Oryzias latipes: one gene and its partner. The protein of the gene in region 2 interacts with the protein of the main gene of each other region in a biochemical or structural test. Links are inferred from orthologs where the notes say so. Each region holds a gene or a part of one and is shown on either strand. Other genes may lie near its edges.

What was found. The genes of interacting proteins can lie anywhere in the genome.
Region 1: the proteins of sos1 (region 2) and itsn1 form a complex in vitro, tested with the Homo sapiens proteins (2 studies listed by BioGRID, with this or other methods). The link is inferred for Oryzias latipes from reciprocal best matches to the Homo sapiens genes SOS1 and ITSN1.

The regions. Positions count from the first base shown.
Region 1 is NC_019873.2:636,826-640,798, reverse strand, and holds part of itsn1 (intersectin-1), read right to left. Parts: intron 3,569-3,973; coding exon 3,470-3,568; intron 3,400-3,469; coding exon 3,316-3,399; intron 3,246-3,315; coding exon 3,162-3,245; intron 3,073-3,161; coding exon 2,941-3,072; intron 2,822-2,940; coding exon 2,744-2,821; intron 2,670-2,743; coding exon 2,548-2,669; intron 1-2,547. UniProt on the Homo sapiens protein: Adapter protein that provides a link between the endocytic membrane traffic and the actin assembly machinery. Acts as a guanine nucleotide exchange factor (GEF) for CDC42, and thereby stimulates actin nucleation mediated by WASL and the ARP2/3 complex.
Region 2 is NC_019859.2:113,462-117,434, forward strand, and holds part of sos1 (son of sevenless homolog 1), read right to left. Parts: coding exon 3,865-3,973; intron 1,791-3,864; coding exon 1,581-1,790; intron 1,513-1,580; coding exon 1,369-1,512; intron 1,298-1,368; coding exon 1,187-1,297; intron 1,047-1,186; coding exon 948-1,046; intron 1-947.

The DNA.
Region 1 (3,973 bases), on a different chromosome or scaffold from region 2:
GCTCCAAAGCACGATGGTTCTACCCCCACGCTTTACAGTAGGTATGGTGTTCTTCGAACTCTCCATTTGTCTCTCCTCCAAACACGACAAGTTGAGTTTTTACCAAAAAGTTCTATTTTCATCTGACCATATCACAGTCTTCCAACCCCCTCTGGATCATCCAGATGCTCTCTAGCAAACCCCAGACAGGCCCGGACGTGTGCTGGCTTGAAGGGGACATGTCTGGAATTGGATTGCCTGTTGTTGTGGTGTTTTACTCATAGTCCCCCTATGTGGTTTGGGGATTTTTACACTCCAATTTTTGTTATAATTTTGACCCTGTGGGGTGCAGTCTTGCGTTGAGCCCCAGAAGGAGGGAGATTATCCGTGATCTTCTATTACAGCTGCAGATTCTTCCCAGCCTGGTGCAGCTCTACAATTTTGAATCTGGTGTGCTTTGACAAATCTTGGCCATAGTGGAGTTTGGAGTGTGAAGAGTGGAGGAGAGAGGAACATTTTAAAGAAGTTACTGGTCTGTGAGAGCTAGAAATCTTGCTTGTTTGTATTAGACCAAATACATCTTGCCCAGATGAATTTACTAGTTATTCCATTTAAAAAAAAGACAATGTGATTTCTAGTACCACATACCCCCTTGTTTTGTCTCTAATGGCTGTCATGTGCCTTTGATGAACATTACAGACCTTACTCATCTTTTTCAGGGGGATTATTTTCACACTTGGTAACGGTTTTGTTCCACTGTATTTGAAGTTGGGTTTGATCAAGTACCTGCTGGTCTCAAAAAGCTGAAATCCCATAGACTCCTATAGAGACATAAAAAGCTATTACTCAGTCATTAAAGATTCCTTAACATGCTCTTCCTAATCATCATTTTTTTCAGGATTTTTCCTAACCATCACTAGTTATTCAATTTATAAACTGACCAATCAGATGCCTCAGTAAATATATCTGGTCTCATGTTGAACAGTCAATGTGTTTGACAGAATCTCCCCAGCATGCTTTCACATGGTAGGGATGTGGACTTCCAACAATCTTACTTCGGGTTGGACAGAGTGGTTTCCATAGAAATGACTTAGACCGACTCAGACTAATCACTGCTTACTGATGATAATAGTTTCCGACATGGTGATGTCCGTATTGAAAAAATGGTGAGTGAACTGACTTAGGTAATTTCCCCTTTGTAGAATCGATAAAGTTTTACTCTATCCTCTTCATTTCATTGGAAGCAAGTCATTTTCTATCGCCCAGTTCAGTTCTCCATGCTTCAGAAGGGTCTTGGTGCACTTGTTTGGAGCAGAGTTTGCATGACTGTTCGTTCACACACCATTGGAAATAGGCCGAGGTTTGTTTTAACCAAAGCAAGCGAAGTAGGTGTTTTTATACCTTCAAACTTCAGCTGGTTCAAAATGTTACACCCACTGACTGCATAACTGGACAACCCACGTGTGACATCACCCTTAGAAAATGCCTTGCTTCTGGCTCCTACCAACTTAAGTCAATTCAGTTGCCATTTTTCAATTCAATTCAATTCAATTTTATTTGTATAGCCCAAATTCACAACAACAGTCGTCTCGATGGGCTTCGTATAGGTAATTGAAAAGGTTCAACATAAACTCAAAAGGATCATGAATACATGAATTCAAGTGGAAAATACTAAATTGAACTAACAAACAGACTAAGCTGAACTGGCATCCCTGCCCTTAGACCCCCCATCCACGATGTCAGTTGCTATGTTGGAACCAGACGTCCTCAGTGAAGCTGTGATTGGTCTAAATTTCTATGGCAACCACTCTCTCTAGTCAGGAGTGATTATATTAGAAGGCCACACCCATTCCACTGAAAGTGGGCTCTGGAGAATTTTTTAATCAAATGCTTCGAATATTCAACGCAAGGCCACCTTCATTTATAGAGGCATCTGATTGGTCAGTTTCTAACTTGAGTAACAGTTAAAATATCATGAGGAAAAAAAGGGTTAGCAAGAAGATGTTAATAAAAGTTTGTAGAGCAAAAATGGTTATTCTGACGAACCTAATGACTGAGTAATTGCCATTTACACTATATTACCAAGAGTCTACTCTCACCCATCCAAATGATCAGTATCAGGTGTCCTGATCTCTTGTTCTGGCCACAGGTGTATCAAATCATCACTCAGTCATCCAGACTGTTTTCACAGACATTGGACGCGTGTCATTGGACGCCACCTGTACCACAGATCCAGTGGTGAAATGTCCTCTCTCCTAAATCTACAGTCAACTGTCAGCTCTATCAGAACAACATGGAAGAGTTTGGGAACAACAGCAACTCAGCCACCAAGTGGTAGACCACAAACTGATGGAGCGGAGTCAGAGGATGCTGAAGCACAAAGAGGTCACCGACTTTCTACACAGTCAATTGCTCCAAACTTCATGTGACCTTCAGATTAGTCCAAGTCCAGCATACAGAGAGATTCATGGAATGGGTTTCCATGACCGAGCAGCTGCATCCAAGCCTCTATTGCTGCCTGATTTAGGAGAATTGAAAATGATTAAGAGATGAAAGCCTTGGCGTTACCTCTCATTGATAGACTCAGCTCTGAGAGTGTAAACTCTGTCAATGTGGGAGATGTGGAACAGAGGCTCGTCTCCTGATGGATCTGTCGGCAGCTTCACCAGAACTTCATTTAGGAAGATTGGCTGAAAAGGAAAAGACTTTTGTCAAGAAAGGCTAATGATTGAGCTTCCTCCTGTGTTGGTTGGTGTGCACTCACTGTCTTGTACATGCGGTACTGCAGGTGAGTTTTGGAGAAGACTTTGTCTGACCCTGATGAGCCCAAAGGTTTGATTACCTGTTAGGACAGAGGCACTTTACTCTATTACAAAGAAAATAGGCTGATTACAGGTGGAACAGTGATTATAGGTGGCCCAGGTCACAGAGGTCAGCCAACCCTTAGTACCACAGGCTCACCTGTGTCAGCAACAGGAAGTCGTTGAACAGGAAGCCGTAGAGCTCTTTGCTGCTCTTGGCCTTGAACAGTTTCCCACTGTGGAGGAACTTGCGTGGGCCGAGGCAGTTGGTGACAGAGTTGAAGACCAGTTGCTTTAGGACAGATGCAGCTTTTTAGAAAACTTCAGATTCAGTTTATGCTACTGTGCTGCAGGTGAAGCAGGCAGGAAAGTGCTACTCACCTCTGAGAGACCCTCACACTGAACATGACCCTGAATCCACTCCAGACGGTCAGAGTTCTCCTTCTCCCTGACGCCCTCGTTCACCTGAAAGAACACACAGCGTGAGCACGTGTGTGTCCTGCCTGTTCGCACCAGCGCCTCCTGCTCCGTTCACCTGTGAACATAGTTCCTCTGCTTTCTCCAGAGCAGTCTTCAGGTGGCTGTGGTCCGGATGGGCCTCTGATGTGTTTTCTAAGATCTGTGTAGAAACACTAACAGTTCAAAGAAGAGCTCTGTGGTGTTTGTGTGTCTGTACAAACCACACTTACGTTTTTGATGATGAGAGGGTAACGTGTGACTCTCTGCATGGGTTTGAGCAGGAAGCTAGACAGAGGCATTCCCTTACAGCGGGGGTCCATGGCTAACCTCTGGCAGATCAGAGAACACCCACTCCAATGAAAAGGCTGTTTTTAACATGTTCTTGAGGCATTTTTCTCATGATGGAGGACATAGGTAAAGATGATTAAGGTTAAAACTCTTTCTGAGTATTTTTTTCCTCAAAACGTGGTGAATCAGGAGCAGATGAAAACATGCTATTTGACAAAGCTTGTAGTAGAAATGTACATACTACAATTGGCAGAGGTTCATTTTTTAATGAACTCTTTGGGATTGTGAGGGGCTGTAAGCTAGCAGGAGACGGTGCAAACAAGCGCAGATTTGAAAGTGAGCACAGCTGGACCCTGCACTGATGGCCCCGCCCACAACTCTGAGGCGACTTTTCAATGAACTCCTGTTGCTCTGCAGAAACTATATCCAAGAAAACGACTAAAAAC
Region 2 (3,973 bases):
TTCAGTCTGCAGTAGAACCGGGAAACCCGGAGAGGTTCTCCACAGCAGAATCACACATTTGATGGTAAAGAACTGCACAGACAAGTCATCTCACACACAGTCTGCACACACACACACACACACACACACACAAACACACAGTCATGGACAGTTGGAACTGCTTGTTTTAAAAAGAAGAAAAGCTAAAAGGGTTTCTATATCAGTAGTTAATAAAGCTGGTTTTTGGTTTTTACATACATTTACTTATGCCATGGTCCGGGTGAATCCTCGATTCTGATTGGCTGCTGGGTGTGCATTAAAACCTGATAACCGCACGGTGAAAAAAGAAGTTCCGGTCACCTAGCTTAAATGTTTTGTATCACTGCGCCGGAGTGATACAGGACTATGGTACAAGCGGGTTAATGGCCTTTGAAGTGTGCGTTATTACTTTTTAACGCCTTATGCGGAAGCAACCGTGGTTCAGGCTCAGAACTGGTGTAAAACTGGATCAGAATCGATGTGAAACAAAATTAGAACTGGTGTAAAACAGGAGCAGAACCGATGATAAACAGGAGCAGAACTGGTGTAAAACATAATAATAACCTATGTAAAACTGGATCAGAACCGATGTAAAAACAGGATTATAACTAGTGTAAAACAGGAGCAGAACCAATGTAAAAGGAGTGGAACGGATGTATACAGGATTAGAACTGGTGTAAAACTGAGTGGAACAGGTTCATAGCCATCTTACATGTTTTCCTGCTGTAAATATTGTTTCTCCTGCAGAGCGAGGGACATCTCATCAAAATCCCTTACAGTCTTTTACGCTGGTCTTACATACAACTGGTTTGGTTCTTTCTTTCTCATAAACTCATTGTGGTTTGAAGATCCACAGAACAGACTTCTAAGCGAGTCTCTACATGAGTGACGAGTGTCATGTAAGGAACCGGAGAGGATCCATGTCTCACCTTGAGGATATCGAATAGATGCAGACAATGATAGACTGGAGTGAGGAGCAGCCGGGGAAGAACGTACTGAACCGCCTCCTTAAAACCCTCACAGATGGACTGTAAAACAGACAAAAGCTTCATCAGGAGGTGGAACCCTGGGACTGACTGCCAGGCAACTAGGTTTATTCTTTCAAGTTTTAGATCAACTCGAATCAAAGTATTTCGTACATTGTCATTGAGGTCGGGGGCGGGATTACCTGCAGGTGGAAGGAGGCCCCGGGCTTGGACACCTGACTTAAGAAGTGTTCTTGGAAGCCAGAACGCAGAACATCTTGGGAGTAGGTTTCGTACGGGTCAAAGGCCAGCTCCTGTCAACAACAGTCATGTAATTAACTTCTCTGTCCAGACATTCAACCAATCAACAAACAGGAATCCAAACCTCAGCCAGATCCTCAAAACAGCTCCCCACCAAAGGATGAGGGCTCCCTTCATCTGTCATCTCCACGGCGTCTTCAATCAGGCCCAGCAGCTTCATTGTCACCTCATGGATGTCCAAGATCCGACTAAATATACTATCCACCTCCTGCAGAACCAAACCCACTGCTGTGACTCCACGGTCCTGATGGGCCGGTGCCTTCAGAATATACCTACATGCTGGGAGAAGAGCATGGGGCAGGAGCTCAGAGGTTCCCTGAAGACTTTAATTATCAGGTTAAGCTGTCTCAGGTACTGTCGACCATCCGCCATGAAGCTCCGCACCAGCTCCAGGTAACTCTGATCCTCATTGGCTGAGGGCTCCTCGTCAATCAGAGGGAAGCCAGTGGGGTCTTCGTCATCCTGGTGGAACATGTCCATCAACACCTGTGTGCACACACACACACACACACACATACCCATACATACCAACACACACAACACACATACACACACAACACACATACCCATACATACCAACATACAAACGCACACAACACACACACACACACACCTACCAACATACACACACAACAACATACACACACACCACACAACACACATACACACACCAACACACCACACACACACACAACACACATACCCATACATACCAACATACAAACGCACACAACACACAAACACACAAACACACACCAACACACACATACCAACATACACACGCACACAACACACATACACACACAACACACATACACACACAACACACATACCCATACATACCAACATACAAACGCACACAACACACAAACACACACACACACACACACATACCAACATACACACGCACACAACACACATACACACACCAACACACACACACAACACACATACCCATACATATCAACATACAAACGCACAAAACACACCAACACACACACACACACACATACCAACATACACACGCACACAACACACATACACACACCAACACACACACACAACACACATACCCATACATACCAACATACAAACGCACACAACACACAAACACACACCAACACACCCATACCAACATACACACGCACACAACACACATACACACACAACACACATACACACACAACACACATACCCATACATACCAACATACAAACGCACACAACACACAAACACACACACACACACATACCAACATACACACGCACACAACACACATACACACACCAACACACACACACAACACACATACCCATACATACCAACATACAAACGCACACAACACACAAACACACACACACATACCAACATACACACGCACACAACACACATACACACACCAACACACACACACAACACACATACCCATACATATCAATATACAAACGCACAAAACACACCAACACACACACACACATACCAACATACACACGCACACAACACACATACACACACCAACACACACACACAACACACATACCCATACATACCAACATACAAACGCACACAACACACAAACACACACCAACACACACATACCAACATACACACGCACACAACACACATACACACACAACACACATACACACACAACACACATACCCATACATACCAACATACAAACGCACACAACACACAAACACACACACACACACACACACATACCAATATACACACGCACACAACACACAAACACACACACACACACACACATACCAACATACACACGCACACAACACACATACACACACCAACACACACACACAACACACATACACCACAACAACCAACAACATACAAACCACACAACACACAAACACAAACACACACCAACACACACATACCAACATACACACGCACACAACACACATACACACACAACACACATACACACACAACACACATACCCATACATACCAACATACAAACGCACACAACACACAAACACACACACCAACACACACATACCAACATACACACGCACACAACACACATACATACACACATCAACACATCCATCCATACCAACATACACACGCACAAAACACACATGCACACACCAACACACACACACAACATACATACCAACATACACACGCACACAACACACATACACACATCAACACATCCATCCATACCAACATACACATGCACAAAACACACATGCACACACCAACACACACACACAACATACATACCAACATACACACGCACACAACACACATCAACACATCCATCCATACCAACATACACACGCACAAAACACACATGCACACACCAACACACACACACAACATACATACCCATACATACCAACATACACACGCACAAAACACACAAACACACACACGCATACCAACATACACGCACACAGACACACATAAAACACACATACAATCACACACATACCAACACACACAAACACACATTTTCAGGAGTCTCAAAGTATTCTCAGCGTTCGTCAGGTGTTTCTAGAACGGCGTGGGGGGTTAGAATGTACCTTGTCCGCACACATGGCCACAGTGATGTCCTGCTTGGTGATGTCATAGTGGCGGATATTTCTTACATAGTTTCCTGCAAGTTTTAGGATGTCAGCAGAGATGTACTCC